Saccharomyces cerevisiae S288C: one gene and its partners. The protein of the gene in region 2 purifies or fractionates together with the protein of the main gene of each other region. This does not show direct contact. Each region holds a gene or a part of one and is shown on either strand. Other genes may lie near its edges. The genes, in order: UTP8, UTP13, ESF2 and UTP18.

Region 1 (8,772 bases), on a different chromosome or scaffold from region 2:
TAAGGAAGAGTGGGTCTCGCCATTTAGACAAGATGCCCTCGCCAATAGGCAAAACAACCGGGCATATGGGGAAGACGCAAAAAACAGAAAGTTTCCTACCGTAAGTGCTACTTCTGCCTATTCAAAACAGCAACCTAAGGATTTAGGGTACAAAAACATACCAAAAAATGCTAAGAGAGCCAAAGATATTAGATTTCCAACTTACCTAACTCAAAATGAAGAAAGACAATATCAGTTACTAACTGAGTTGGAACTAAAGGAGAAACATTTGAAATATTTGAAGAAGTGCCAGAAAATTACTGACTTAACTAAGGATGAAAAAGATGACACTGACACTACTACTTCTTCGTCCACTTCTACATCATCATCGTCATCGTCATCGTCATCGTCATCGTCATCGTCTTCATCAGATGAAGGGGACGTTACTTCTACTACCACATCTGAGGCCACTGAAGCAACTGCTGACACTGCAACTACGACAACCACTACCACCAGTACTTCTACTACCAGCACTTCTACTACTAATGCTGTCGAAAATAGTGCTGATGAAGCAACTTCCGTGGAGGAAGAACATGAAGACAAAGTGAGTGAGTCTACTTCAATTGGCAAAGGCACTGCTGATTCAGCTCAAATTAATGTAGCGGAACCAATCTCATCCGAGAATGGGGTGTTGGAACCACGCACTACAGATCAAAGTGGCGGTTCAAAGTCAGGTGTCGTGCCAACAGACGAACAAAAGGAGGAAAAATCCGATGTAAAAAAAGTCAATCCTCCCAGTGGGGAAGAAAAAAAGGAAGTGGAAGCGGAAGGGGATGCAGAAGAGGAAACCGAACAATCGTCTGCAGAGGAATCTGCTGAGAGAACGTCTACTCCAGAAACCTCGGAACCGGAATCCGAAGAAGATGAAAGCCCAATCGATCCAAGCAAGGCTCCCAAGGTCCCTTTTCAGGAACCTTCTCGAAAGGAAAGAACCGGAATTTTCGCTTTATGGAAAAGCCCTACTTCTTCATCTACCCAAAAAAGTAAGACCGCCGCTCCATCCAATCCAGTGGCCACTCCAGAAAATCCTGAATTAATTGTAAAGACAAAAGAACATGGTTACCTATCAAAGGCAGTTTATGATAAAATCAATTATGATGAAAAAATTCATCAAGCATGGTTAGCTGATCTTCGAGCAAAGGAAAAGGATAAATATGATGCTAAAAATAAAGAATACAAAGAAAAGCTACAAGATTTACAAAATCAGATTGACGAAATTGAAAATTCAATGAAGGCCATGAGAGAAGAAACTTCTGAGAAAATTGAAGTTAGTAAAAACCGGTTGGTCAAAAAAATCATTGATGTTAATGCCGAGCATAATAATAAGAAACTAATGATATTAAAAGACACTGAAAATATGAAAAACCAAAAGTTGCAGGAGAAAAATGAGGTCTTGGACAAACAAACCAACGTTAAGTCAGAAATCGATGATTTGAACAATGAGAAAACGAATGTCCAAAAGGAGTTCAATGACTGGACCACGAACTTAAGTAACTTATCTCAACAGTTGGATGCTCAGATCTTTAAGATTAACCAGATTAATTTGAAACAAGGCAAAGTTCAAAACGAAATCGATAATCTGGAAAAGAAAAAGGAGGATTTGGTTACCCAAACTGAAGAAAATAAGAAGCTGCATGAAAAAAATGTACAAGTTTTGGAAAGTGTAGAGAACAAGGAATATCTTCCACAAATTAATGATATTGATAATCAAATATCAAGCTTATTGAACGAAGTGACCATAATCAAGCAGGAAAACGCCAATGAAAAAACTCAACTATCGGCAATTACCAAAAGACTCGAAGATGAGCGCCGCGCTCATGAAGAACAGTTGAAGCTAGAAGCTGAAGAAAGAAAACGCAAAGAAGAGAACTTATTGGAAAAACAGCGCCAAGAGCTGGAGGAACAAGCGCATCAGGCTCAATTAGATCATGAGCAGCAAATTACTCAAGTCAAGCAAACCTATAATGACCAATTGACTGAACTACAGGATAAGCTGGCAACCGAAGAGAAAGAACTGGAGGCAGTCAAGAGGGAAAGAACGCGATTACAAGCTGAAAAGGCTATCGAGGAACAAACTCGCCAGAAAAACGCTGATGAGGCCTTGAAGCAAGAAATATTGAGTAGGCAGCACAAACAAGCTGAAGGTATACACGCGGCTGAAAACCACAAAATACCAAATGACCGTTCACAAAAGAATACGAGCGTCCTTCCAAAGGACGATTCCTTGTATGAATATCATACTGAGGAAGACGTCATGTATGCCTAAAAAAAATAATATTCCACTTTTGTTCAAGGAATATCCCACCTCTATTTTATTTTTCTCTTCTATTCTTTGTCGAGTATCATCAAGTTATCCTTTGATTATTTTCACCCTTCCTAATCTACCTCTCTTTGTAACCGTTTTATGTACCAATATTTACTCAATCAACAATTTATCAACCAGTTAGTTATTCTCTAGTGTTTCGTGCTCAAATAACCGAGTAAGATGGACTCTCTTCTGAAGCACTTTTGCGGGCATTTAACCTCAGCTCGTCACGTGACGGTCGATGAAAAATCCAGGGTATTAAAACTTTCCTTTGGTTATATCGGTATATTCTAAATAAAAGAGAAGCTTATTCTGATCCTTTTGATTCCCTGCTCAATTTTTCATTGAATTGTTTATTTTTGTCATTAATGAAGCTTTCAACCCCATACAGTGTTTTTGCATTTTGCATTTGTCTTTTTCTTGCTTCGTATCTTTTTTTCGACTCAGATTGCAAAGAAACGGCCAACTTATTAACTAGCTTGTCGTCATCTGCAATTGTTATCTTACCCGTCTTAGTGTCCTTCTGTACCTTGCCGATTCTACCCTTCTTGGGTACGTTTTTATTGTCTTCTTCATCGGCGGAACTATCCTGTTTGCTCGAATTCTGTGTTTGCGTAGCGAGATTCCGCAAGGTCTTCTCATAACTCAATTTTGCAAGTTGATCATAGGAAATTCCACCTCTTTGGCTTTGCCCAGTCTTCCCTTGAGGATGCCTACGTTCCCACGCATCATATTCTTGGACAGTGTAATGAAATGCTTTCTCTTTTTCAGGACTTTCTGTATCTCCTACTGATTCATCTGCATCATTTACGTCTTCCATACTGTATACTCTTGGTTTTCGATTTGCGCTTACTTCCTGAATCTCTCTGTCAGCCAACTTCCTACTCTTTATAGATACATCTACTCTTTTCCTTTTCAACTCCTTCAGCTTCTCGTCTAATTTGTAAAAATCCATTCTTCGAATACTTTGACAAGATATGGTTTTGCTTCGCTTACAGTTCAATAGAGAAGTCAAACATTGTCATTGAGAGCCCCTCATCGCAAATATTGCTCTTTTAAGGAAAATATAGTAATATTCTAGCTTTTTTGTCATTCTACACGGAAATGTCTGTATTTTTCAAATTTTTTCATTATGCTGTAGCAGATGCCTGAAAAATTTGAAAACTTTGATGAGATGAGGTCACTGTTAAATTTGTAATATTATATGTCACACCTAGCGCTCCTTGAACAGCAAATCATTCCGGAGGATAGTAAAGATTCAAAATGCCATCCCTGTCTCAACCATTTAGACTAGCAACTCTCCCAAAAATTGCTTCATTGAGCAATTTTTCTTTACAAGCAGATTACGTTCAAGTCGCAGATGGCACCTTTAATGAATCTACAAATAACATAACGTTAGGTATTTCCGGGTCATCTATATCTCAATATATTATTAATCCTACACCAAAGTTAACATTCGATTACCCAATACCCTCTACAAATATTATCACGGCATGCAATGCTGAGAAAGGTCAAGCGAACATTGACGGAAATATAGAAGCCAGTACCGATGATGAAGCCAACAACGAGAAGACTATCAACACCCAAAAAAAAAGAAATGTTGAAATTTGGGCCTTTGGTTTAATGGTAAATAAGGGTAATTATACGCTAAATGTTATCACTAAGGCACTGGAAGATACCACTGATACCTCAAATGACCATCTGAGTGAGAGTGATATTGACAATAAAGCATACACGGGTTCAGACGAATTTTTATCTCAGTATAAGATCAAGGCGAAAGCCAAAGTCATGAGTATTAAAATTGACACCAAGAACAGCTTAGTAATTGCAATTTTACAGAACGGGTTGATTGAAATTTTTGATTTTAAGTTAACACTTTTGCATTCATTTGATATATCTTATGATAACTTAAAATATGCTAAATGGTTCACTGAAAATGGAACTGAATATGTTTTTGTTCTCTGTCCATTACAGGATGATAAAGTCTGCTATAAATTGCTCGAGCTAACAGATTGTGGCAGTGGAGAAAGTTCGCCCATAAAAGAATTATCATCTACTATCATCGAAGGATTTTCTTTTGAAAATTCAAAGCTTTGTTATCAATTTGGAAAACTTTACAAATTGAACCAGGGGAAAATATACATTTACTCTTTACCACATTGCCAATTGCAACAAGTTATTGAATTTCCGATGGTGGATAAACTCAGTCCTGGAGATGACTTAATCTCTTTCCAACCTGTTTCAGTAAACAGAGTTCTACTGACCGTAAACAACGTCATTTATCTACTAGACTTACTGCATTGTTCTACTTTAAGCCAAAGAGAATTAACTCACGTGAAAACATTCCAACTATTAAAATCTGCAGTGATCAATTCAGAAAAGTCGCATAATTCAAAAACAATAGCAATTGGTATTTCAACGAAAAATGGACCAAACCCAACGTCTTCCTTAGAAATAATTAATATTGATGTTGGAACTAATACGTTGAAGGACTCATTAGGCAAGAGTTTTCAAGTTGGAAATAATGATAGCTCAGTTATTTTAAAGCCGCTATTTGATGATAAAGACATAAATGACAAGAGAGTGAAATGTAACGACGTCAGCGGGGATTCAAGCGTTCCAGTCCTCCACTGTAATGAAGTTATTGAAAAGCTTTCAGCCCTTCAAGATAATGACATTACATCATTTGATGACATATTTTTCAAAGAACTAAAAATCAAAGAAGAACATTATACTGAAAAAGATAGATATATTTCTGATCCTGGCTTTTTGAATAAAGTTTTAGATCTAATTTTCGGAAAGTTTAGCGGAAATGATTATCCAAAAACTTTAACGTTTTTATTGACACACCCATTGTTTCCATTGAGTCGTACACGCAACTTGCTATCCTTACTAAGAGACCAACCTAGATTATTTAAACAAGCAATTGTAACATGCCCAAACTTGCCATTAAATGAACTACTTGAAGAATTGTTTTCTATCAGAAACAGGGAACTATTACTTGATATCTCATTTAGGATTTTGCAGGATTTCACCAGAGACTCTATTAAACAAGAAATGAAGAAACTAAGTAAATTAGACGTTCAAAATTTCATTGAGTTCATAACAAGCGGTGGTGAAGACAGCTCACCAGAATGCTTCAACCCTAGCCAAAGCACGCAGCTATTTCAACTCTTGTCCCTTGTGCTAGATTCTATCGGGCTATTTTCATTAGAAGGTGCTCTATTGGAGAACTTAACCTTATATATTGACAAACAAGTTGAGATTGCTGAAAGAAATACCGAATTGTGGAATTTGATTGATACGAAAGGTTTTCAGCATGGGTTTGCTAGCTCAACCTTTGATAACGGAACTTCTCAGAAGCGAGCCTTACCCACTTACACCATGGAATACTTGGACATTTGAGTATGCAATGAATTTGATTGTATTGTATAATACCTATATAGAAAAGGAACTAATATATATAGCGTCTACTGTGGTTACTGATAAACTAACAGGCATTTAGAATTTGAAAACATCATATACATTAGATGTGTCCAACAAGAGATACCGGAATGTTCTGAGGGGAAGAAGATGGAATTTAAAGCTAGTTTGAAATAAAATGGAAGATTGTGATTTTTACAATTTGAATTTAAACCTTTTTTCCTCCTTAGGTGAGGTTACCGAATACTTGCGCACGTCTTCATCTGAGCTATAAAGGACCCTTTCTATAAAGGTAACTCTCGTTGAATCCTTACTCACGAGTAAAACTATTTGAGAGCGAGTTCCGTAGTAATCACCATCAGGAATTGAGGCACCTAAGTCATCCCTGGGAGGCCTCCGTAAAGGTGGTACGTATATGGTATTCATGGTTACATTTGGATCTACCATCTGCAAGACATCTGGGTTTGAAATAGTGCTTGGAAGGGAAGACTTCGAGGCGAGTTGAAAGCAACTTGATATTATTTTCTCCTCATCTGATTCAATATTCTCTAAAACTAGATTTTCTAAACTATCACGTGCTACCTTTACTTTTTCCCAAGCCTGCCCTGGTATACTGGAGCTGTCATAAAATTTACCATTAGAAACAACCATGTAAGAATCAAGATCTTTCCTACAGGTAGAACTCAACACATCAAAAGTTCTTCCTAGAGAATCAATAACTTTATATTGCTTTTTGATAACGTCGCCGTAAAAAAAATTAAAATCACCTGTGGACTTCAACCCATCATAGTGACCTTCAAACTTTTTGTAATTATCCCAATCTTCAAAATCTGCTTTATGGATCGACAAAAATATAAATGGTAACAGACCACGGGATCTTGATTTCGTATTATTTTGCTCATTGTCAAGTTTTAAATTAAGAATAGTGGCTAATTTTCCTTCTTTATTTATGCCAGACCAAGTGCCAAATATTTGTTTTTCTGCTGAGGTTTTGGCCAGATCGTAGGGTGAAAGGATAAAATCATTGTTATGCCAGCATGTAGCATGTGTTTTTCTTGCCAAGAATTCGTCTCTGTTAGATATTAAGATGAGTTCATAGTCAGGATGTGCCCTTGTGGCCATTAAAATGCACATTATTTGTTCGTTAGTTTTTGGTTTTTAATACTTTAGCCACAGGTGTGTTAATAAATGCAAGCGTTTCTTTCCTTTTCTGCCTCACTTCATATACTACTATCCTACTCCACTTTCAGGGGGAGACTATTTTTTTAGCGCTTTAGGAATTGAACGAAAAAGTCGAAAGCTAGGCAGATGCCAAGAATATAATGTGAGGCAAAAAAAAAAAAAAAAAAAAAAAAAGAATGATTCTGAAGTAAACGCATTGCGAACTAAATGTTGCTATGCCACTTAATCGAAAATTCTATGAAAAAACCCCTTGATCCCCTTTTCTGATTTATGTTTTTGATATTTTTCGATCCTCTTCTTATTCTTCTCTACTGCCATGTTCAACTTGTTTGGTTCTAGAGAAGAACCTTGAGAATTTGTAGTAACCTTGGATCGTGTCGAATGCATATCTGTATGGTCGTTAATATGCTCTTTTTTAGTTGAGGATACGCGAGAGTCCTCCCTCTTCAAACTTTCAAGCGTCTTCAATTTGACCAACCCGGTTTCAGTTTCTAAACGATACTCTTCTGGAAATGCAGCATCGTGAGCTGAGTTTGTTACTGGGGCGGTAATATCCGGAAGAGCTTTCTTGTTCAAATTTAAACCATCTTCTTTTAAGGAATCAACTGTTTCTGAGTTGCCCTCTAAAGCATTGTGGGTAACCATCTTTTCTATCGAATTTGAAGTTGGCCTTTTTAAAGTACTAGAACTGTGATGAGAATGCACATCTGAATGACGGTGTTGATCATCTACATTACTATCATCTTCCAGTTGCCCCTTTCCAACAATGGTATCGTTTTTTAAAAGAGGCTGTTCTGGAGCTTCAGAATCTTTGAACCCAGTAAAGGGCTCCGGTTTGTAAGAGTCAATAGAAGAAAAGGACGATATGTCTTCATATTCATTATCGGTAGTGACAGTAACAGATGGGACAGGCATAGTCTACGTTGATACGTTGTTATGACTTTGATTTGTTAATGCGGATATAAACTAACCGTACAACTACCCGTTGTGAATTGTTGTGGTAGTATATTAATGAAAAAAGTAACGGTATTTTTTTTCTTTAGGAGAGCAATTAAGTCAAGTGAGGTATGTAGTTGCTCATCGATGGGAATTATCACTTTTCGTCTACGATAGGGGCCCTATCAAAGAAAATCGCGCAGTAAAATTCCGGAAGTGAAGACTCAAGTACAAAAAGTTTATAGTCGAGATGGTAAAAATCCTACAACGGCATCACTTATACAGATGCAGGAGCATCCTGCTTTTATTTAGTACTGGTGTAAATTACTTGCAATACGCCGGCAATAAAAGAAATTAAATAAATATACGTGTACGCTCTCATGCGCTAACAAGTGTGTAACCTAGTAATTCTTTGAATCTGGTGTCCTTGATACACATGACCATTAATGCAACCTCCACGTACAATGCTAGATTGTCTTCTTTCAATTTGTTCAACGAGCTAGAGTCTATAACCCATAATACGGAATCAGTTTCAGTTTCGATGGTGAGCTTTTGTTCTCTAGGCATAGCATTCCCTGGCGCAATGATTTTTCCGAAGCATGTGCCATTTGAAAAAATCTCGTACAAGGTTCCTTGTGGTAGTTCATATGTTGCCTTCAACATACCTGTTTCCACAAGGAAAAAAATGTTGTCTGCATGTAGTAAATGTGATTGACTTGCTAATCTGCGCCTGGTGAAGTAGGGGCAGAGTTGTGCCCAAAACTTGATTTCCTTTTCTCTTACTTTTTGAACTTCAGATATTATATCGGGTCGGTACTGCTTTAATGCAAATAACAATATAGGCAGGACAGGTTCATCATCTTTGTACTCCTTTTTGAAATTCTTCA
Region 2 (9,112 bases):
AAATAAGGAAAAAACAACCGGCAAACTGGAAACAGAACGAAATGGCAGGCAAAAAAAGTCCTCGAAAAAGTACGATCAATCATAGTACACATTCTGGTAAACTGCCAGCAAATATTAAAAGGCTCATAAAAAAGGGCGAATCCGATACAAAGTCCAGGCAATCACCACCCACACTGAGTACAACGAGGCCAAGAAGATTTAGCCTTATATACTCTTCTGAGTCATCCTTGAGTGACGTATCTGATTCTGATAAAAACAAAAGTACAAACCCACATAAAATTAAAAGAAAAGCAAAGAACATTTCAAATAATTCCCAAGGAAAAAAAAGTAAACTTATACAAAGGCAAATAGACAATGACGACGAGGGCACAGAGTCATCCGATTACCAAGCTGTAACAGATGGCGAAGAGAGTGAAAATGAAGAAGAAGAGAGTGAAGAAGAAGAAGAAGATGATGACGAAGACGACGACGACGATGATGATGACGGAAGTGATAGTGATAGTGATAGCGAAACAAGTTCTGATGACGAGAATATAGATTTTGTCAAACTGACGGCCCAAAGAAAGAAAAGAGCCATGAAAGCTTTATCTGCCATGAATACAAATAGCAATACACTCTATTCCTCTCGTGAGAACAGTAACAAAAATAAATCAGTTAAACTATCCCCTAAGAAAGAAAATGAAGAAGAGCAGAAAGAAGAAAAAGAAAAAGAGAAAGAAGAGCAACAAAAACAACAAGAATCAAACAAAAAAGAAGTAAACGGTTCAGGCACTACTACTACACAACAGGCGCTATCGTTTAAATTCAAAAAAGAGGACGACGGCATTAGTTTTGGTAATGGTAATGAAGGCTATAACGAGGATATAGGTGAAGAAGTCTTGGATTTAAAAAACAAAGAGAACAATGGTAATGAAGAAGATAAACTGGATTCTAAGGTGATGTTAGGTAACAACGATGAGTTACGATTTCCCAATATTTCAGAGTCAGATGAATCTGAATATGATATTGACCAGGATGCGTACTTTGACGTGATTAACAATGAAGATTCTCATGGAGAAATTGGTACAGATCTTGAAACGGGGGAAGACGATCTTCCCATATTGGAAGAAGAAGAACAAAACATTGTTTCTGAGCTACAAAATGACGACGAACTCTCATTCGATGGTAGTATACACGAAGAAGGGTCTGATCCTGTAGAAGATGCTGAAAATAAATTTTTGCAAAATGAATACAATCAAGAAAACGGATATGATGAAGAAGATGACGAAGAAGATGAAATAATGTCTGATTTTGATATGCCGTTTTATGAAGATCCTAAATTTGCAAATCTTTATTATTATGGCGATGGTTCAGAGCCAAAGCTATCCTTGAGTACATCTTTACCGTTAATGCTAAATGATGAAAAACTATCTAAACTAAAAAAGAAAGAGGCCAAAAAACGGGAACAGGAAGAAAGGAAACAAAGACGAAAGCTCTATAAAAAGACGCAAAAACCTAGTACGAGAACAACCTCCAATGTGGACAATGATGAGTATATTTTCAATGTTTTTTTTCAATCAGATGATGAAAATAGTGGCCATAAGAGCAAGAAAGGCAGGCATAAATCGGGCAAAAGTCATATTGAACATAAGAATAAAGGCTCGAATTTGATAAAATCCAATGATGATCTGGAACCATCCACTCATAGTACGGTCCTGAATTCCGGGAAATATGATTCTTCTGACGATGAATATGATAACATTTTGTTGGATGTTGCCCATATGCCTTCAGATGATGAATGCAGTGAATCTGAAACGTCCCACGATGCTGACACGGATGAAGAATTGAGGGCACTAGATTCAGATAGCTTAGACATTGGCACAGAACTGGACGACGATTACGAAGACGACGACGATGATTCCAGCGTGACAAATGTGTTCATAGACATCGATGATTTAGATCCAGACTCTTTTTACTTTCATTACGACAGCGATGGATCTTCCTCTTTGATAAGTTCTAACTCAGACAAAGAAAATTCTGATGGATCCAAAGATTGCAAACATGATCTCTTAGAGACTGTTGTGTACGTTGATGACGAATCCACAGATGAAGATGATAACCTACCGCCCCCAAGTTCAAGGTCAAAAAACATTGGCTCAAAAGCAAAGGAAATCGTAAGTTCAAATGTTGTTGGATTACGTCCACCAAAATTGGGTACTTGGGAGACGGACAACAAACCTTTTAGTATTATTGATGGTCTGTCTACTAAATCATTATACGCCTTAATCCAAGAACATCAACAGCTTCGCGAGCAACATCAAAGGGCTCAAACCCCAGATGTTAAAAGAGAGGGAAGCTCTAATGGCAATAACGGTGACGAATTGACACTCAATGAGCTGCTAAACATGAGTGAATTGGAGGATGATTCACCATCCCACACAGACGATATGGAGAACAATTACAATGATGCAATTAATAGCAAAAGCACAAATGGCCATGCTGCAGATTGGTATGAAGTTCCTAAGGTTCCATTATCTGCATTTAGAAATAAGGGTATTAATGCCTATGAAGAAGATGAGTACATGATACCAGCAAATTCTAACAGAAAAGTTCCCATTGGCTATATTGGTAATGAAAGAACAAGAAAGAAGATTGATAAGATGAAAGAGCTACAACGGAAAAAAACTGAAAAAAAAAGGCAGTTAAAGAAAAAAAAGAAGCTTCTTAAAATAAGAAAGCAAAGACAAAAGGCAATAAAGGAGCAAGAAACTATGAATTTACAATTGGGAATCAATGGCCATGAGATCATCGGTAACAATAACAGCCATAGCGACATAAATACCGGTACCGATTTTACAACCAATGAAAATACCCCTATGAATGAACTTCCCTCTCACGCACCTGAAGATGCGTCATTAATACCTCATAATTCTGATCTTGCCGTGGACAGCAATACAAGGAAAAATTCAACAAAAAGTGTTGGTTTAGATGAAATTCATGAGATTTTGGGCAAAGATGAAAATGACTTACTGTCTGTAGGTGATATTAACGGTTATGATGCACAAGAAGGTCATGTGATCGAAGATACTGACGCCGATATCCTAGCATCGTTAACCGCTCCTGTGCAATTCGACAATACATTAAGCCATGAAAATAGTAATTCCATGTGGAGAAGAAGGCAAAGTATGGTGGAAGCAGCGGCTGAAAATCTTCGTTTCACTAAAAATGGTTTATTTAGTGAGAGTGCATTGGCAGATATCGAAGGAATTATGGGCAATGATGTTAACCATTCATTCGAATTCAATGACGTCTTACAATGAGCTATTTTGCATTTTTTTATGGTTACTACAATCAAATCACCTTTCGTTTACAATATCATCATCAGTATGTGACTTTGCCTTATTCTACTCTGAATTTTGCTTTATCGTTGGTTGAAAAGAATTACATGTTATTTTTTTACTTATATATGCATATTTTTATAGAAAAACACAATCAATATTTTTTTTACTGGTATAATCCGTCCAATCAGACGTATAAAAGTAAATAAGCCTCAAGCAACCCCATTTGATGGATTGCCTTACTCTTCGACTCTAGTTGAGATGATAACCTCATCCACTCTTCTGGCGATTAAGATGGAGCTTCTTAATATATCCGTGTAAAGCGACTGAAAATTTTCTGAAAAATTCAGCTCATCGCTCTCAGATATAATAGCGGTATGGCATTAAAGGTGTGAACCAACAACATAGTACTCTCAACGGTAGTAAGCCATACTACGTACAATATGGATCTGAAAACCTCATATAAAGGTATATCGTTAAACCCTATTTATGCAGGAAGCAGTGCTGTTGCCACTGTTTCAGAAAATGGTAAAATACTAGCTACTCCGGTGCTTGACGAAATCAACATAATCGATTTAACCCCAGGCTCCAGAAAAATTTTGCACAAGATTTCTAATGAAGACGAGCAAGAAATTACTGCACTGAAATTAACTCCTGATGGTCAATATCTCACGTATGTTTCACAAGCTCAGCTTTTAAAAATCTTTCACCTTAAGACCGGGAAAGTTGTCAGATCAATGAAAATCTCTTCTCCATCGTACATTCTCGACGCAGATTCCACTTCAACGCTTCTCGCAGTCGGAGGGACAGATGGTAGTATAATTGTTGTGGATATTGAAAATGGTTACATTACTCATTCGTTCAAAGGTCATGGTGGTACAATTTCCAGTTTGAAGTTTTATGGACAATTGAATAGTAAAATATGGTTATTAGCATCCGGTGACACCAATGGTATGGTAAAGGTTTGGGATCTTGTTAAAAGGAAGTGCTTGCACACATTACAAGAGCACACATCTGCTGTGAGAGGGTTGGATATCATTGAGGTACCAGATAATGATGAGCCAAGCCTAAATTTACTTTCCGGTGGTAGAGACGATATCATCAATCTCTGGGATTTCAATATGAAAAAGAAATGTAAATTGTTGAAAACACTTCCAGTAAATCAACAGGTAGAGTCATGCGGATTCCTAAAGGATGGTGACGGTAAACGCATAATTTATACAGCCGGCGGTGATGCTATCTTTCAGTTAATTGACTCTGAATCTGGTAGCGTGCTTAAAAGAACCAATAAACCTATAGAAGAGTTATTCATTATTGGTGTACTTCCAATATTGAGCAATTCACAGATGTTTTTAGTATTGTCTGACCAGACATTACAACTAATTAACGTTGAAGAAGACTTAAAGAATGATGAAGACACAATACAGGTCACTTCGAGCATTGCTGGTAATCATGGTATTATTGCTGACATGAGGTATGTTGGCCCAGAGCTGAATAAATTAGCTTTAGCTACCAATTCTCCATCGCTTAGGATAATACCCGTCCCCGATTTATCAGGCCCAGAAGCTTCGCTGCCTTTGGATGTCGAAATTTATGAAGGTCATGAAGATTTGCTAAATTCATTGGATGCTACTGAGGATGGCCTGTGGATCGCAACCGCCTCTAAAGATAATACGGCTATTGTTTGGAGATACAATGAGAACAGCTGCAAGTTTGATATTTATGCCAAGTATATTGGTCATTCAGCTGCCGTAACTGCTGTTGGATTGCCAAATATAGTTTCAAAGGGATATCCTGAATTTTTATTGACAGCATCGAATGATTTAACAATTAAGAAATGGATAATTCCAAAGCCAACTGCTAGTATGGATGTTCAAATCATCAAGGTATCCGAATATACTCGTCATGCCCATGAAAAGGATATCAATGCTTTGTCAGTTTCTCCTAACGATTCTATTTTTGCAACAGCATCATACGACAAGACCTGTAAGATCTGGAACCTAGAAAATGGTGAATTGGAAGCCACGTTGGCCAACCACAAGCGTGGACTATGGGATGTATCATTTTGCCAATATGATAAATTATTGGCAACTTCTTCAGGTGATAAAACAGTCAAGATATGGTCATTGGATACATTCAGCGTTATGAAAACATTGGAAGGTCATACCAATGCGGTTCAAAGATGTTCGTTTATTAATAAGCAAAAACAACTGATCAGTTGTGGTGCTGATGGCTTGATCAAAATATGGGATTGTTCTAGCGGTGAATGTCTGAAGACTTTGGATGGTCATAATAATAGATTATGGGCTTTAAGTACTATGAATGATGGTGATATGATCGTAAGTGCTGATGCAGATGGTGTTTTTCAGTTTTGGAAAGATTGTACGGAACAAGAAATAGAAGAAGAACAAGAAAAAGCTAAATTACAAGTCGAACAAGAACAATCGCTTCAAAATTATATGAGCAAAGGTGATTGGACAAATGCATTTTTGTTAGCAATGACTTTAGATCACCCAATGAGGTTGTTTAATGTTTTGAAAAGAGCTTTGGGCGAATCAAGGTCTAGACAAGATACCGAAGAGGGCAAAATTGAAGTCATTTTCAATGAAGAATTGGACCAAGCCATCTCTATCCTAAATGATGAACAGTTAATTTTGTTAATGAAACGATGCAGAGATTGGAATACAAATGCAAAAACACATACCATAGCGCAAAGAACAATAAGATGTATTTTGATGCATCATAACATAGCAAAATTGAGTGAGATACCCGGAATGGTAAAGATAGTTGATGCAATAATTCCATACACGCAAAGGCATTTCACAAGGGTTGATAACTTAGTTGAACAAAGTTACATATTAGACTACGCGCTAGTGGAAATGGATAAGCTATTCTAGGCAGTAAGTCCAAGATATTGAGCCTTTAAAAGCAAGGCAATAGCAACATATTATTTTGTAAACTAGATATATAAAGACAAAATGCATTGATGAAGCGGAAAGCTTAAAATAATTCGATATATAATTAGGTGCCTTTACGGGCATTGAAAACTTCTTTGCGCGAAGAGCTCATCACTAAAAATTTGCAAAAAACGAAGAGCGAAAACTTTCATATATTGTAGTAATATATACAAGAATTTAAACTGCCCACTTGAAATAGCACGGAAAGAACTAGCCATAATATATTATACAGGATGTCGGCAGGTGATATATCAGCCATAAATATCAAGTCTGTCAAAAAAAACAGAAGGAGGAAGAAGAGAAGAACAGCTGATGTTTCATCATCAGATTCTTCATCATCGGATCCATCATCAGAAAGTGAAAAGGAGGAAATCCAAAATGGGGCCATCGAAGAACACGTTGGAGAAAATGGTAAAAGTGATCATGTTTTCTCAAAAGGTAATGACGAAGACAAACAAGAGGACATTGCAATAGAAGTTTCGGATGTCGAGCTTACAGACGAAGAAAGCAAGGATTTGAAGTTAAATTCAAAAGAAGTGATAGACGATTTAACCAAAATTTCTTTGAGCAAGATCCCAGAGCCTACGAAATCTCAAAACAAGGAGGGTTTTATGAATGCATCGAAAATTGCCGAAAATATCAAGCTTGCGAGAGAAGAATACAATGAATTGGCAGAAAACTTTGTGCCCAAAGGGAAAGACAAGACAAAGTTAAGGGAAGAATACTTAAATTTACTTTTTGAAAACTACGGTGATGATATCAATCGTCTTAGAGCTGCCCCGGATTTCACGAATAAATCACTATCCATTTTGGCAGATGCTCTGCAGGAAGGCATAGGAATGTTTGATATTGGTGAACTAGAATTGGTCTTGAAAAATAAAGAAATGGAGAACTGAAAAATATTGCTTTAAATCTTTTTCTAAAAGTTTGTCATGTTTCCGCGGAGAATATATTGACGTGCACATTAATTATTTAGATAATTCTTCGATTTTTAATGAAGAGCGGTCCTGATCCAAGTTGTGCTTCATATGGTATAAAGCTGATTCCAGTATACTGCACGAGAAGTATATGTATGTATTTTGTAATTTATATAAAGGCAAAAAAAAGAAAAACACTTGGGCATAATGGAGGAGAAGATCTTATGACCTGATAGTCAAAGAGAAAAAGAAAAAAGCAGAAGGAGCAAAGAAAGGCGGCGACCAAATGACGAATTAGATCCAATGAAAAACGATTCAATGCGAATAAAGGTTATCATGGATCACCTGATGGGCCTCTTGGCAATAGAAAAAGAAACTAGTTTGAAATTCATTAATATAAATAAATTTAAAGAGGAGAATATAGAAACAAATTAAAACGTAAAAGAAATGTATGTCGAGAAAATCCAGCCCAGTTCCAAGTATATAGCAAAGCTTCTCAATCCCAAATTTCTTTACAATAAATATGTATAGTGTTGTTACTTTACACTTAACCCAGTAACTTAACAAAGAACCAAGCCGCACCTGCTGCTACACCACCCACAACAACCATTTCAACACCTTCCGTAACTTTCTTTGAAGTCGAACTGCCACTACCCATGGATAGTTTTGTCTTTACGTAACCAAACCAGAATAATGTTACAACCATGACTATTATAGAATAAATGAGACCTGTGCCCACATCTGAGACAAAAAAATATGGCACTAGTGGTACTAGCCCACCAAGTAGATAACCGCCACCGATAGTGACTGCACTGATTAGTTCTCTATTCTCGGCAGGTTCGTCTAGACCCCTACCGTACCTGATAATGAAGTCAACCATTAGCTCAGGTGTTCTTTGTAAATCTTTGATGAACGAAACGATTGTTTCGTCCGAGAAATTAGGGTTAATCTCTAACAGAATGTCTTCAATTTCTCTGTTAATTAGGTTGGAGTTATCGTAAAATTTCCTTTTCTCCTTCTTTACTTCAGCATGATAATAATCAGATTCACTCTTCGCTCCCAAATAGCCACCAAGGCCCATAGAAATCGCACCTGAGATCAACTCAGCAAAGCCACCGGTAATGACCAATTTCGCATCACCAAGTGAAGATAGACCAGCTGTTAGAGCAAAGGGGACGGTTAAACCGTCGCTTAGCCCGATAATCAAATCGCTAATTACGCGAGGATCTACTGATTGGAAGAACCCTAGGTTCGCCTTTTCGTTATCCGAACCGTTATCGCCATTCCTATTATCTTTCCCTACTGACATCGGTGAGTTTTCTAGATCCTGCGCTGAATTTCTACCATAGATAATATCCGAGCTAGATGAGGATAAGTTATCATGCCTTGAACTATTGCTATTACTACCCCTCAACAAGGGAGTTGATTCAGACCCCCCCAACTCTGAGGTTCCACCACTACCTTTCGCTTTCTGTATAAGGGTCACCACTGCGTTCTTTAGTGCTACAATGGACATAATATTTGTGTGCACGAGATATGGGAGGACAAAAAAAAAGTTTCTTTGTTCAATATACCAATAAAAAAAAAGAGTCTAAAGGCTTCGTTCTGTTATATTTCTATTCTATAAACCTAAAAAAAGCAAAAATTGAGAGTGATGTCGCTTTAACTTGATTATTTGAACTATTTTGTTTTGTATCAATTTTTCATATATAATCTTAATTTTACATCTTCATTGTGAGACATTCGGGCTAACAAAGAAAACAAAAAATGCGGGTCACGAAAGGGGTACCGAGCCAATGAGAAGAGGGTATGTTAGTAATATTAGTGAGAAATGCGGCGCGATTGGTCCAGACCGAAAAAAATCAATATTATTAAACTGTAAAAGTTATATTAAAAATTAAGTTACATTAGTAATTGAAGT
Region 3 (7,511 bases), on a different chromosome or scaffold from region 2:
CTTTCTTGTATCTAGTAGATGATAGGAATTAAGTATTTTTTTTTTACCTAACTAGGATTATAATTGCAACAACAAAAGCGCCCTTCGTGAAACACGTGGGATACCGGTTAGGTAATATTACAGTTTCCTTACACACTTACTAAATACGCAACAGAGCATGTTATTAATCGTATATTTAAGTAATAATAACGTATTGACCATTCCTAAGACTGAAGCAGTACCAAGAAATGGCACTTTTTGTTTATATGACATAGTAAAAGTGTTCATTTGGCAGAAAACAAGGGTATCTGGATACTGCAATCCTCATTAGTTGCGGAGAGCTTTTTTAAAGTTTTATTACTTCGATAATGCTTTCCTCCAGAACTGGGCGCGCACTGAAGCCATAAACTGAGTGGTTGTCCCTGTGTATATTCTACAATCGCCTATTTGAAACTTCTGGGTGATAATATCGATTTAGCGATTGGGTTTCTCCCTTCTGAGATTCTGGATAAATGAGATGCTACCCTCACAGTAAAAACAGTACAAAACCTTTGTATAGTTCTAGTCAAATATGAACTCCTTCATTCATGGATTGTATACTATTGTTCTTGTTGAAAGATTCCTCTTGTGATTTTCATGGTGATTTTAAGCCTTTTTTATTGAAAGAATTAAATATTCACTAGGCTGCGATACGATAGACAAACGAAGTGATTGAAACCCGAATTAACGGATATGGCGATTATGTGTGTTTATGATCCCAATATTTGATTGTCGGAAAAAATTAATCATCTATTGGTGTGTACTCATACTACTTGTATCATATACAGTGTAAAATGACGACATAATTGATGGGAAACAGTTATCAAAGTTATTGGATGTTGAATTGCAAGAATTGATGAAGTAATAGGATAAGGAATGACAACGTATAAAATTGAAGGAGAAATAAAAATATATATTATATAGAAGTATCGGGCCCCTTTCGTAGATTCCTATATCCTACAGGATAACTTTTGGTACATTCTGTAGACCTAAGTTCATAGCTTTTATAAACAATTAATCCCAAAAAATGTCTCTTTTGATGATTAGATGTTAAAAGGTGATATTACTGACTACTTGTTCGAAGTGCCTACGCAACACTTTAGCTGCTTTTTTTAAGCAGCGGCAGATGAGGATTTAAATAACGCATAACCAAGAATATACCTAATGAAGTGAAGGTATACAGGCTGTTCTATGGACTTGAATAATACTGGCTACCCTGGCGTCCTAATGTCGTTAAGAAAGTAACTTGATATCAGATTAATCACAAACTTGGTCCACAAAATACCACTTATCTCATATAATCTAAATCTGACTAAAGGGTGTAGGCACGGAACTTCGGACCTAGAGGTATTGCTCAATATGTATATTTCTCAATGGTTCATCTAGGTAAGCAAGGCCTTGAATAATATACTTAATCTTGTCTGTTTCGCAACAATTGCTGAGTACAATAATGTTGGAATAAAAATCAACTATCATCTACTAACTAGTATTTACGTTACTAGTATATTATCATATACGGTGTTAGAAGATGACGCAAATGATGAGAAATAGTCATCTAAATTAGTGGAAGCTGAAACGCAAGGATTGATAATGTAATAGGATCAATGAATATTAACATATAAAATGATGATAATAATATTTATAGAATTGTGTAGAATTGCAGATTCCCTTTTATGGATTCCTAAATCCTCGAGGAGAACTTCTAGTATATCTACATACCTAATATTATAGCCTTAATCACAATGGAATCCCAACAATTATCTCAAAACTCACCCACTCTTCAAATAATGATGTGGTATACTACCTGAAATACGATAAAAAGTGTTGTATTACGGGCTCGAGTAATACCGGAGTGTCTTGACAATCCTAATATAAACAGTCTTAGGGAAGTAACCAGTTGTCAAAACAGTTTATCAGATTAATTCACGGAATGTTACTTATCTTATATATTATATAAAATATGAATCATGCTAAGTGGTGGAAGCGCGGAATCTCGGATCTAAACTAATTGTTCAGGCATTTATACTTTTGGGTAGTTCAGCTAGGGAAGGACGGGTTTTGTCTCATGTTGTTCGTTTTGTTATAAGGTTGTTTCATATGTGTTTTATGAACGTTTAGGATCTCAAAATGTCATACTGACGTATCTCATTTTGAGATACAACAAAAAGTATAAATCTTTGGAGGGTTGGCCGAGTGGTCTAAGGCGGCAGACTTAAGATCTGTTGGACGGTTGTCCGCGCGAGTTCGAACCTCGCATCCTTCAGTATTTTTTTTTATTTTGTCGGGGCCACCAGATCTTTAATGGCAAGACAAAGCGTTTTCAGATACATGAAATACATTGAAGCTATCTTTTTGAAGAAGAATACCTGCGTAGTGTTCTATGATTGTTCAAATAATATTTTAAAATGGTATTTTACTACTGTGTACATTTTATATGCTTAAATAAAAAAGAAAGTAGAGCACCCAATGTACGTGTGGTAAGGAAATAAATGTTCATAATTTTCATTAATGCATCAAACGGGATAAATGTTTTGGAAGAACGCAAATTTTGAAAATAGATTCCATTGGCTCTTGATAGTTGCTTTACGTATATTTTGTTTAGCCTTCTTTCCCTCATATAAGTATGCAGCTCTTCATTTTCCAAACCAGGATGAGATATGGATATATAGTTTCCCACTGAATCTTTGTGTCAATGCTACGCCCATCTTCTGCACGTCAGAACAGAATAACTACCTTGAGAAGAAAAAAAAAATACAAATGGTGGTTACTTGATAATGAATATGCTCTAATTGAAAAGAAATCTCCCTAGATATGATACCGCCCTCGACGACCCGATCTTTGGTATTTGGTAGGACTGTATCATCTTATTCCTCACATCATAGCAATTTTGTTCGTCATAATGTTCCTTTAGTTCTCAGAGTCATATGAATTCTATTTCCATAGAATTTTCCATTTTGAGCAATACGGGGAGTCGCTACCTCGATTCTAAGTTATGCTGCATTGACTTTATTGTGTGATATACATATCGATGTACTAGAAAGGGTTTGGTTTGGCCAAGTTTTTTATTATGAGGGTGCATTTTTTCTGTTTTAACACATTTCTCATGATCCTAATAGAAGGTTGAGTAGAGATGTACATAATATTTTGCGGAAAGTTTCGACACGTTCATTAGGTTCTAAAAAATTATTATTTTTCATAAGCTATTGAGATCTTATCACCTTGCTCTGTAATTCTAAAGTTGTTCTAAAACCGCAATTAATGTTTCAATTTTGGCGCTATTAATAATGATGGATACTCAACGAGGCGTACCAGTAGCATTTTGCCATCTTAACACATTAGCAAACGTTGCTATTATTGATCCTTCCATAAGTAATTTCACACATCCATTTTCGTCCCTAAGATAAAACAAAGTCTCACAATTCGTATATTGATATTTCAAACCCCAAAGCCTGTAGCCTTTTGATTATGACCGACTTCCCAGACGTGGCCATATTGATAAAGGTGCTTTCTGATCAAAGTTAGTATTAAAGAAAGGGTAAAATTCGTAATATCGTAATATTGTAATATGAACCAAAAACGTTCACAATGTGTAGGATGCACTACCAAATAGGTTGCGTTGTAGTACTCATCTCTCGGTTGCGCGACTAGAAAGTTACTAGAAAACTCCGGAATTCCTTATAATATACTGCAATAATGCACATGTATCTTTTCAGTGCAAATTAATTATAGGAACAAACAGATAGCGACAATTCTTTAAGGGCTGCTGGATTGACAACCCCTTCATCGACCATATTTGATTAGCCAGCCACCAAATAGCGTTTCAATTGACAAACTACATTATCTCGTGAAGAATATTTAAACGGTGATATTGGGTCTGTCTGATCACATTTCCAAAGGCAATGACGTGTAAATTTTTTCTTTCTCTTGTTTTATTATTTTGAATTACTTCGTTATAGCCAGCTTTTCTCACATTGCGCAGTAAAACTTTCGCTATTAAGATTTTGAAAAATTTCAACCTGACAAACTACCCATTGCTATGTAAGTACAAAGCAAACAGTTTACTGCAGCAGAGTGAAGTAAATTTTTACGCATGAGTGAAAAAGTAAATAGTGACTTTGAAGACTTTTCCTCAGATGAGGAAACCGATCAACATAACGTCTTAATTCAGACCAAGAAAAAAATTTCTAGTAAGGATGATATCTTCAGTAAGAAGGTAGAAGACATCGAAAGTGAAAACGAGTCAGACATAGAAGAAGAGCAAAAACAAGAAGAAAAAGAGGATGTAGAACAACCAGATAAAGAGAATGGAGAAAAGCTCGATCGAGAAGTAGAAGAACAAGCTTCGTCCACCACTTCACTGGATTTAAAAACAGAAAAACTAAGGCAACTGGTAAAATCAAAGGCCGCCAAGAAGTCTAAACACAAGACTGGGGTGGTATACTTCTCCAGTATTCCACCTTACATGAAACCTGCAAAAATGAGACAAATATTAACTCGTTTTGGTGAGGTAGATAGACTATTTCTAAAGAAAGAGGACGATCAAAAGTACAAGCAAAGAGTTAAAGGTGGAGGAAACAAGAAAAACAAGTATGAAGAAGGTTGGGCCGAGTTTATTAGGAAAAGAGACGCCAAATTGTGTGCGGAGACGTTGAACGGGAACATTATTGGTGGCAAGAAAGGTACTTTCTACCATGATGATATCCTGAACGTGAAGTACCTCCCAGGTTTCAAATGGGCAGATTTGACTGAACAGATTGCCCGCGAGAACGATATCAGACAGGCCAAGTTGGAGATGGAAATCTCGCAGGCCAACAAACTGAACGCGGAATTCATTAGAAACGTGGAGCAAAGTAAGATGATACAAAACATTAAGAACTCTAGGAAGCGCGCCGGAAAAGAAGGAGAGTCTGCAGATTCTCACCCTCACAGGGAATTTAAACAACGTCGTGTGGAAACAAGCCGTGCCAATGCTCCCTCTGATATCAAGCAGCAATCCTCTGGGTCCAAAGACTTGGGTAATGTTCTCACCAATTTACTATAATATAGAATCAATAACAAATATATAAACACAACCTGTCATTTAGCACGTTTTTTTGCCCGATGCTCATCGCAAAAATTTTTCGCTTGAAGAAAAATTTTTCACTTTTCTTCTTTTTGGGCATATAAAGAAGCGTAGAATATATAAAAGATATTTACTACTTGTTAGTACTTTCCCTTAAGTGTTAACTTTGAAGATCTGTTGACTTGCAGCAAAACCACTAAATATCAGGGGAGGAATAATACAATGGGTACTGGTAAGAAAGAGAAATCTAGACGTATTCGTGAAGGTGACACCAAAGATGGTAATCTTCGTGTGAAGGGTGAAAATTTCTACAGAGACTCCAAGAGAGTCAAATTCCTGAATATGTACACTAGTGGGAAGGAGATCAGGAATAAGAAAGGTAATTTAATTAGGGCCGCTTCTTTCCAGGACTCCACAATACCGGATGCGAGGGTCCAACCAGATCGTCGTTGGTTCGGTAACACAAGAGTGATATCTCAGGACGCACTGCAGCATTTCAGAAGTGCATTGGGTGAAACCCAAAAAGATACATATCAAGTTCTTCTGAGAAGAAATAAGCTTCCCATGTCATTGTTGGAAGAAAAGGACGCAGATGAATCCCCAAAAGCCAGAATTTTGGATACCGAAAGTTATGCTGATGCGTTTGGGCCCAAAGCCCAAAGAAAGAGACCACGTCTTGCTGCATCCAATCTAGAGGACTTGGTCAAGGCTACAAATGAAGACATTACCAAGTATGAGGAAAAGCAAGTCTTAGATGCCACATTAGGACTAATGGGGAACCAGGAAGACAAAGAAAATGGGTGGACCTCCGCAGCAAAAGAAGCTATTTTCAGTAAGGGTCAATCCAAACGTATTTGGAACGAATTATATAAAGTCATCGATTCGTCTGACGTGGTAATACATGTTCTAGATGCAAGGGATCCATTGGGTACCCGTTGTAAGTCCGTGGAAGAGTATATGAAGAAGGAAACACCACACAAGCATTTAATTTATGTTCTTAATAAGTGTGATTTGGTACCTACCTGGGTTGCAGTATGTTAACTTTTTTTTTTTTTTTTTTGATTCTTTCCAACCAAGAGGATAGCACGAGAGATTTTTTTTTTCGATAGAGTATGATTTTTATTACCAAACCTTTTTGTCAGGGTGCTTCTCTATCCGTTTTAGGATAAACTTATCTACAGAAGTGTCTGTTACTGTTTTGGAAGAGTAATACTGTTCGCTTATCCATATTTCCCCGTTCTGGGGAAGCCTCATGGGTAAATTAGAAGGACAACCTTTGTTTTAAAGGTATACCTTCGCTTTTTAGAACAGCGAGGATCTTATGAGTTGAGCTTTTGTTATTTGAGACTTTATCTCGGGCTCCATACAATATGTTCGTAGTAAAGATCCTCACAATTTTCTACTTTTTTTTTTTTTTTAGTTTAATCCACTCTTCGAAACAATCAATCTCGGCTATAACAATGATTATTACATTCTCTTGGGGCAAAAGATTACCTATTATGAAACAAAATGTATTTTTTACTAACAGAAGGTTTTTTTTTTTCAATTCTAACTTTACAAGTAGGCAGCTTGGGTCAAACATTTGTCAAAGGAACGTCCAACTTTGGCGTTTCACGCATCTATTACCAACTCTTTCGGTAAAGGTTCGTTAATTCAGTTGCTACGTCAGTTCTCACAGTTGCATACTGATAGAAAGCAAATATCTGTAGGGTTTATCGGCTATCCAAACACTGGTAAATCGTCCATCATTAACACATTGAGAAAGAAAAAGGTGTGTCAAGTTGCACCAATCCCTGGTGAAACTAAGGTCTGGCAATATATTACTCTTATGAAAAGAATTTTTTTGATTGATTGTCCAGGTATTGTGCCGCCTTCTAGTAAAGACTCCGAAGAAGACATTTTATTCAGAGGTGTTGTCAGAGTCGAACACGTCACACACCCAGAACAATATATTCCAGGTGTTTTAAAACGTTGTCAGGTAAAGCACTTGGAAAGAACTTACGAGATCTCAGGATGGAAGGATGCCACGGAGTTTATTGAAATTCTGGCAAGGAAACAAGGTAGATTACTGAAGGGTGGTGAGCCTGATGAGTCTGGTGTTTCTAAGCAAATATTGAATGATTTTAATAGAGGTAAAATCCCTTGGTTCGTCCTTCCACCTGAAAAGGAAGGGGAAGAAAAACCAAAGAAGAAAGAAGTTGAGAAGACGGCATAGAGGTAAAAACGGACAACCGGTGTATAATATTAATTTAAGATTACAAGTGATTTTTTTTTTCTTTTTTTTTGTTATTTTTTTTTTTGTTCTTATTATATGGCAGCAAACATTCTTGGGGAAACAACATAGATGGGTAATTATTTAGTTTATAAAGTATAATATTCCAATAGAAAACTTAAGTTCGGTAATGATATAGCCCTCTCTATAGTATAAGGT
Region 4 (8,100 bases), on a different chromosome or scaffold from region 2:
TTCTGCAGATGGATCCAAGAAAATTGTTGGAAGGGCACAGTCCATTAGTACCACGAAGGATTCCAATGATGCAAAACCCAGCACCGTCAAAACTGAAAAAATCTACTTTGACGATGGCACGGTAGACATTACTACCACCACTACCTCCAAGGGTTCCAGTCCCCAGGTGAAGCATAAAGTGGTGAGTGTTGACGAAGACAATTAGGACATATTTTCGTTTCCTTTTTTTACTCATATCTTACACAATATGCCTTGTATATATCGCACGATTATGACCTTGCGCGTGTGGAAAACATGCGACTGCTAAGGGGAGATCCACACACACACACACAAAAGATCAATACACATTTTTGACAATATATAGCATCAATAAAATACATATAAGCGATTCACATAGTTCAATATGAAGGTTGTTAAGGAATTTAGTGTCTGTGGTGGCAGATTGATCAAGTTGTCACATAACTCGAACTCTACCAAGACCAGCATGAACGTCAATATCTATTTGCCTAAGCACTATTACGCCCAAGATTTTCCAAGAAATAAGCGTATCCCAACTGTGTTTTACCTTTCTGGCTTGACGTGCACGCCAGACAACGCCTCTGAGAAGGCTTTTTGGCAGTTTCAAGCTGACAAGTACGGATTTGCAATAGTCTTTCCGGATACGTCCCCACGTGGTGACGAAGTAGCCAATGATCCTGAGGGCTCCTGGGATTTTGGACAGGGCGCCGGATTCTATCTAAATGCCACCCAAGAACCATACGCCCAACATTACCAGATGTACGACTACATTCACAAAGAACTCCCACAAACATTAGATTCTCATTTTAACAAGAACGGTGACGTAAAGCTGGACTTCTTGGACAATGTTGCCATCACAGGCCATTCGATGGGGGGATATGGTGCAATTTGTGGGTATTTGAAGGGCTATTCCGGAAAGAGATACAAATCTTGTTCTGCCTTCGCCCCTATCGTGAACCCTTCCAACGTTCCCTGGGGTCAAAAAGCGTTTAAAGGTTATCTGGGCGAAGAAAAAGCCCAGTGGGAAGCGTACGACCCATGTTTATTAATCAAGAATATTAGACATGTGGGCGACGACAGAATTTTGATCCATGTAGGAGACTCCGATCCCTTTTTGGAAGAACACTTGAAACCGGAATTACTACTTGAGGCGGTGAAAGCCACTTCATGGCAGGACTACGTGGAAATAAAAAAAGTTCACGGCTTTGATCACTCCTATTACTTTGTCAGCACTTTCGTTCCAGAACATGCTGAATTTCATGCGCGAAACTTGGGTTTGATTTGAGAGGCATCGCATTTCATTATGGTAATTTTTATGACTTTTCTATGTACATATTTAGTGAAATATACGTCCGTAGAAAAAAATGGCCAAACATAGTTATCCTTTCAAAGGTTATTCGCAGTAGATTTTATGTCACCTGTAACTTCCATTACTATTGCTATTATGTGGTTAATTGGCATCACATCCGACGAATTTAATAATATGAAATGAAAAAAACGAAAAATAAAAAAATTTCACCTCATCTCATCGATCACTCTGGTCCTGTTGTGGTATCGTTCTTGAAAGTGTATATCAGCCTACATTAGTGCGACAATGACAATGGCAACAACCGCAATGAATGTTAGCGTACCTCCACCAGATGAAGAAGAACAGTTACTAGCCAAATTTGTATTCGGTGATACAACAGATTTACAAGAAAATCTCGCTAAATTTAATGCCGATTTCATTTTCAATGAACAAGAAATGGATGTTGAAGACCAGGAGGATGAGGGATCTGAATCAGATAACAGTGAAGAAGATGAAGCGCAGAACGGTGAATTAGACCATGTTAACAACGATCAGTTATTTTTTGTGGACGATGGTGGTAACGAAGATAGTCAAGATAAGAATGAAGATACCATGGACGTGGATGACGAAGATGACTCTTCAAGCGATGATTATTCTGAGGACTCTGAAGAAGCTGCTTGGATAGATTCGGATGATGAAAAAATTAAAGTGCCTATTCTTGTTACCAATAAGACAAAGAAATTAAGAACCTCCTATAACGAGTCCAAAATCAACGGTGTTCATTACATCAACAGATTGAGATCTCAGTTTGAAAAGATATATCCAAGGCCCAAATGGGTGGACGATGAATCTGATTCTGAATTAGATGACGAAGAAGACGATGAAGAAGAAGGCTCTAATAATGTTATTAATGGAGATATTAATGCTCTAACGAAGATCCTGTCTACTACTTACAATTATAAAGACACTTTATCGAATTCCAAACTATTACCCCCTAAGAAACTTGACATTGTGCGTCTTAAAGATGCAAATGCATCACACCCGTCTCATTCCGCCATACAATCTCTTTCATTCCATCCTTCTAAGCCTCTACTGTTAACGGGTGGGTATGATAAGACCTTAAGAATATATCATATTGACGGGAAAACGAACCATCTAGTGACAAGTTTGCACCTGGTTGGGTCTCCAATACAAACATGTACTTTCTATACTTCTCTATCAAACCAAAATCAACAAAATATATTCACCGCCGGTAGAAGAAGATATATGCATTCCTGGGACTTATCCTTAGAAAATTTAACTCATTCACAGACTGCCAAAATCGAAAAATTTTCCAGATTGTATGGACATGAGTCCACTCAAAGATCATTTGAGAATTTCAAAGTTGCACATTTGCAGAATTCACAAACAAATTCTGTCCATGGAATTGTCCTTTTACAGGGTAATAATGGTTGGATTAACATTTTACATTCCACTTCCGGACTATGGTTAATGGGCTGCAAGATAGAAGGTGTGATAACGGATTTCTGTATCGATTATCAACCTATTTCACGTGGTAAGTTTAGGACCATTTTAATTGCTGTAAACGCGTATGGTGAAGTGTGGGAATTTGACTTGAATAAGAATGGCCATGTTATAAGAAGATGGAAAGACCAAGGTGGCGTGGGTATAACAAAAATCCAAGTTGGTGGTGGGACAACAACTACTTGTCCGGCTCTTCAAATAAGTAAGATAAAGCAAAATAGGTGGCTTGCGGTAGGTAGTGAGAGTGGATTTGTTAATCTTTACGATAGAAATAATGCTATGACCTCGTCGACCCCTACACCTGTCGCCGCCTTGGACCAGCTAACAACTACCATTTCTAATCTACAATTTTCCCCTGATGGTCAAATACTGTGCATGGCATCCCGTGCAGTCAAGGATGCTTTGAGACTAGTTCATCTGCCTTCTTGTAGCGTGTTCAGCAACTGGCCTACCAGCGGGACGCCTTTGGGTAAAGTTACCAGTGTCGCATTTTCGCCATCTGGTGGGCTACTGGCCGTGGGTAACGAACAAGGTAAAGTGAGGCTCTGGAAATTAAACCACTACTAAATTTCCATTTATAGACAAACTTAGATATTAAAAGCAATGTACAAATACATACACAAAATATCACTGTAAAAAAATTGCGAAGAAACTTGAAATTGAATATGATTCTGCCCACTTTTTTCTTGCTGTCATTTATAGTCAGAAATGAAAAATTGTCCGAGAAATTAAATATAATATATGGAAAAAAAGGGGACATTGAGTTTAAAGAATTTGATTAAAATGTCCTCTCAATATCCTCTGTAAGAGTTATCTAAATCTCACTTTACTTATTCATCTCGCTGGGAATTATGCAGGCGGTAGAGAGAAGGCCCTCGTTACTCTTTGACGAATATCAAAATTCTGTTACTAAGCCTAATGAGACGAAGAATAAAGAAGCCAGGGTCTTGTCAGAGAATGACGGTGATGTCTCCCCATCTGTTTTGAAACAGAAGGAAATATCAGTCGATGATATGGATATGATTTCTTTGCCCACGGAATTTGACAGGCAAATGGTTTTAGGTTCACCTATGTTTTTCGATCTTGAAGACGAAGAAAACAAAATTGATCCACTTCCTTCAGTTTCCCATCATTATGGAAATGGAGAAAGTGACAGCTTTGTCTCATCGTACACGCCCTCAAATCTGAAAACGGGTGAAGAAACTAAAGATCTTTTCATTAATCCGTTTGAATTGGTTTCTCAAATGAGAAAAAGATACATTGCTGCTTCCAAACAAGATGGCATTTCAAACATAAAAAATGACACTGAAAAGTGGTTTTTATACCCAAAACCACTGCCAAAGTTTTGGAGATTTGAAGACGATAAACGATTCCAAGATCCCTCTGACTCTGACTTAAATGACGATGGAGACAGTACTGGGACCGGAGCCGCTACACCGCACCGCCATGGCTACTATTACCCAAGTTACTTTACCGATCACTACTACTACTACACAAAATCTGGTTTGAAAGGAAAAGGAAATATAAAAGTACCATACACCGGTGAATATTTCGATTTAGAGGATTACAAAAAACAATACATTTACCATTTAAGTAATCAGGAAAATACGCAAAACCCACTTTCACCTTATTCTAGTAAGGAGGAGTCACTAGAGGAAGAATTTTTAACAGATGTGCCTACGTTTCAAGAATTTAGGGATGATTTTGCATACATAATAGAGTTAATCCAATCTCATAAATTCAACGAGGTTTCACGAAAGCGATTATCTTATTTATTAGATAAATTTGAATTGTTTCAGTACCTAAACTCTAAGAAAGAAATTTTAGCTAATAAAAATGTTCCCTACAGAGATTTTTATAATTCTCGTAAGGTAGATCGAGACTTGTCTTTAAGTGGTTGTATTTCTCAACGTCAATTGAGTGAATATATATGGGAGAAAATAAATTTAGAACCTGAAAGGATAGTTTATCAAGACCCGGAAACGTCAAGGAAACTCAGTTTGAGAGACATTTTTCAGTTTGGTTGTTCTTCTAATGACCAACCCATTGCGATTGGGTTGAAATTGATTGATGATGAATTCTTGGATTGGTATAGAAATATTTACCTAATAGATTACCATCTAACTCCTAACAAAGTAGCAAAGTTGGTCGGCAAAGAAATGAGGTTTTACCTATTAGCCAAAGTGTTTCTGGAGTTTGATAATTTCATTGAAGGTGAGTACCTAGCAGAAATTTTCATAAAATACGTTATTCATATCCTCGAAAAATCAAAGTACCAATTGGCCCAAGTATCAGTTAATTTTCAATTCTATTCCAGTGGTGAAGACTGGTACAAGAAATTTTCTCAATGGTTGCTACGATGGAAGCTAGTATCGTATAATATCCGCTGGAATATACAAATTGCCAGGATTTTTCCCAAACTATTCAAGGAAAATGTCGTGTCAAATTTCCAGGAGTTTTTGGATCTTATCTTCAATCCTTTATTCACTCTGGAAAAGGAGCAGTTACCAATAGATTCATCTGTAAATACTGATATCATTGGTCTGCAGTTTTTTTTATCAAATGTGTGTTCTATGGATCTGGTCATTAAAGAGTCGGATGAATATTACTGGAAAGAATTTACTGATATGAATTGTAAGCCAAAATTTTGGACAGCACAGGGTGACAATCCAACTGTTGCGCATTACATGTATTATATTTATAAAAGTTTAGCGAAAGTTAATTTTCTGCGGTCACAAAATCTTCAAAATACAATCACCCTAAGAAATTATTGTTCTCCACTATCCAGCAGAACTTCCCAATTTGGAGTGGATTTATATTTTACAGATCAAGTTGAATCGTTAGTGTGCAACTTACTGCTTTGTAATGGTGGTCTGCTACAGGTAGAACCGCTTTGGGATACTGCAACAATGATTCAATATTTATTTTATCTCTTTCAAATACCCATTTTAGCTGCGCCATTATCATCTGTTTCATTACTGAATTCGCAAAAATCGACCTTTTTGAAGAATAAAAACGTGCTTCTAGAACATGATTATTTGAAAGACCAGGAAACAGCCAAAATCAATCCTTCTAGAGATATCACTGTGGGCGAACAAAGATCATATGAGACAAATCCTTTCATGAAAATGTTTAAGATGGGACTAAAAATTTCTTTATCATCAAAATCGATTCTTTACAATAGTTCATACACGCTAGAACCTCTCATTGAAGAATACAGTGTAGCAGCAAGTATTTACTTGCTGAACCCAACAGATTTGTGCGAGTTGTCGAGAACAAGTGTGCTATCTAGTGGCTATGAAGGTTGGTACAAGGCTCATTGGATTGGCGTTGGAGTTAAAAAGGCGCCTTACTTTGAGGAGAACGTGGGTGGGATAGATAATTGGTACGATACAGCGAAAGATACCTCGATAAAGCACAACGTTCCGATGATTAGAAGAAGATATAGAAAGGAGACATTGGATCAAGAGTGGAACTTCGTTCGGGATCACTTTGGAGTAATTAACTCCATTTGGTAGGGTAAAGTGAAATATCAACAACTTTGCATAGTAAGATATATATATTTATATAGATACCTTAAAAACTGAAAATGAAAACTTGAAAGTTAAGGAGGAGGAGAATGCGTCTTTGTTTCATGAAATATTTTTTTCATTTTCCCAACTTGGCTTGATGTCCCTGACAGACCTCATGAATTCTCTTAAACGTTTCTTGTCACGTAGTGCCCTCTTAGCGTATTGAGGGTTACCGTAGTAAAATAGTTTAAATTGGCTTTGCTTTTCATCACAGTGTTCGGGGTCTAAGTCAATCGACAAATCTAGCACAGCAACGCTACGTTGAAAATACCACTTGTTCACCACATTGTCTTTTCTGCTTCTCCAAAGTATCTCATTAGGAAATTTTTTGAACATCAAATTGAAGATTATATCAGATATACCCAGCGAGCCTTTCAAGTGTGGTAGAACGGCGAACTTATCGAGATAAACAAAGGAATTTTCCTCCGAGCCTTCATAGGTAAGAATTGCAATGCCTTCATAATCACCTATCACAATAATTGTAGCTATTTTTCCATTAATCCTTTTTATGTAGTCATGCAAATCCAAAGATCTTTTAAAGCTCTGATCGATGATGGATTTAAATTTGTTGATATCTAGTTTTGGACTATTGCTCGAGGGTTTTGCTCCTTTCTCAGGTACGTGAAACTTCTTTGGAAGCCCAATTGAGTTGAATTGAGTCAGCGTCTTATAGTCATAAGTTTTGATATGGACGCCCTTTTTGAGAACAGTTGTCACTAAAACTGCATCTGAGTTAGAAGGAGCTGCATTTACCTGTTGGGAAGGCAATTCATACCATGCGTGATCATCAAACATGTTGGCTGGTGAGTCTATCTCGCCGTCCTTTTTTTTAAACCTTGGTAAAGAAGAAGAAATTAGCGATCGGTCTGTCAATAAATTATATACTAAAGGATTTTTCCTATCTGATGATAGTGCGGCAGCTTTGACAGTTGTAATCAGTCCCGTTGCTGTAGCCGCTAGATTTGATAAAACTTTGTCCATCAATAACAGGTTTTCTAAATGATCATGGTATTCACATTCTAAGGAAGATATCTCATCTTTTTTAACGTACACCTCCATTCTGTGTAACAGGTTTTGGGAGCGTGGCTCTCGTTTGGTTAGAGTGCTTATATTGTGAGATAATGACGAGGACAAATGCTCGAGTTCCTGAGAAAGATTGATGAATACATGAGCGTTATCATTTCTCTCTCCCGAAGGTATACCTCCGGCATTATTTAGAATGAAGAATTTGTCAATGTGTGGAATATTCCCTTGGCACAGGCAATCCATAAATTTTACAACATCCTTTGTCATGAATTCTGAAGCAGTCTCTTCATTATACACATAAGGTTTCACAATTGGTATAAAATTGGAATTTCCAATATCAAAGAAACGACTCTCTTGCGAAAAAACAGAATGATATAACCCAGTGCGGGATTTAGTAAGACCCTCCTTAAGGTGAAGTGGCTTTAAATCTGCTTCTGTAACGATACTGTCAAGTAACTCTGCCTGTATATTTACATGAGTTGGCGACGGCGGAATTACAAACATAGGTCGCAAACCTAGCATTCCTAGTCTCTTTATGACACTTGAAAACTGGGACAAAATCGCTGGTGCGACTTTATGCAGGTCCCTGATAAAAAACAAACAATGATTATGCTGCCCACTATCATTTGTATATTTTGAGAGATAATCCTTAGCCTCTCGTTTTGTAGCGGT

Evidence for each region.
Region 1: the proteins of UTP13 (region 2) and UTP8 purify together in Saccharomyces cerevisiae (affinity purification with mass spectrometry; 2 studies listed by BioGRID, with this or other methods). This does not show direct contact.
Region 3: the proteins of UTP13 (region 2) and ESF2 purify together in Saccharomyces cerevisiae (affinity purification with mass spectrometry; 2 studies listed by BioGRID). This does not show direct contact.
Region 4: the proteins of UTP13 (region 2) and UTP18 purify together in Saccharomyces cerevisiae (affinity purification with mass spectrometry; 7 studies listed by BioGRID). This does not show direct contact.

Annotation. Positions count from the first base shown.
Region 1 is NC_001139.9:744,927-753,698, reverse strand, and holds UTP8 (Utp8p), read left to right. Parts: upstream 1-3,607; coding exon 3,608-5,749; downstream 5,750-8,772. Other genes in the region: YGR130C (uncharacterized protein), read left to right, coding at 1-2,305; SYF2 (Syf2p), read right to left, coding at 2,652-3,299; YGR127W (uncharacterized protein), read right to left, coding at 5,963-6,901; YGR126W (uncharacterized protein), read right to left, coding at 7,172-7,864; VSB1 (Vsb1p), read right to left, coding at 8,264-8,772. UniProt on the Saccharomyces cerevisiae protein: Involved in nucleolar processing of pre-18S ribosomal RNA. Also has a role in nuclear tRNA export. It acts between the steps of tRNA maturation/aminoacylation and its subsequent translocation out of the nucleus.
Region 2 is NC_001144.5:576,420-585,531, reverse strand, and holds UTP13 (U3 snoRNA-associated protein UTP13), read left to right. Parts: upstream 1-3,760; coding exon 3,761-6,214; downstream 6,215-9,112. Other genes in the region: IFH1 (Ifh1p), read left to right, coding at 42-3,299; RSA3 (Rsa3p), read left to right, coding at 6,508-7,170; CCC1 (Ccc1p), read right to left, coding at 7,739-8,707. UniProt on the Saccharomyces cerevisiae protein: Involved in nucleolar processing of pre-18S ribosomal RNA.
Region 3 is NC_001146.8:720,904-728,414, reverse strand, and holds ESF2 (RNA-binding ATPase activator ESF2), read left to right. Parts: upstream 1-4,108; coding exon 4,109-5,059; downstream 5,060-7,511. Other genes in the region: putative GTPase NOG2, read left to right, coding at 5,303-6,112, 6,645-7,295. UniProt on the Saccharomyces cerevisiae protein: Involved in the small subunit (SSU) processome assembly and function, and in the 18S rRNA synthesis. Required for the early cleavages at sites A0, A1 and A2. Stimulates DBP8 RNA helicase ATPase activity.
Region 4 is NC_001142.9:306,219-314,318, reverse strand, and holds UTP18 (Utp18p), read left to right. Parts: upstream 1-1,612; coding exon 1,613-3,397; downstream 3,398-8,100. Other genes in the region: MPM1 (Mpm1p), read left to right, coding at 1-205; YJL068C (S-formylglutathione hydrolase), read left to right, coding at 404-1,303; YJL070C (metallo-dependent hydrolase superfamily protein), read left to right, coding at 3,682-6,348; ARG2 (acetyl-CoA:L-glutamate N-acetyltransferase), read right to left, coding at 6,463-8,100. UniProt on the Saccharomyces cerevisiae protein: Involved in nucleolar processing of pre-18S ribosomal RNA and ribosome assembly.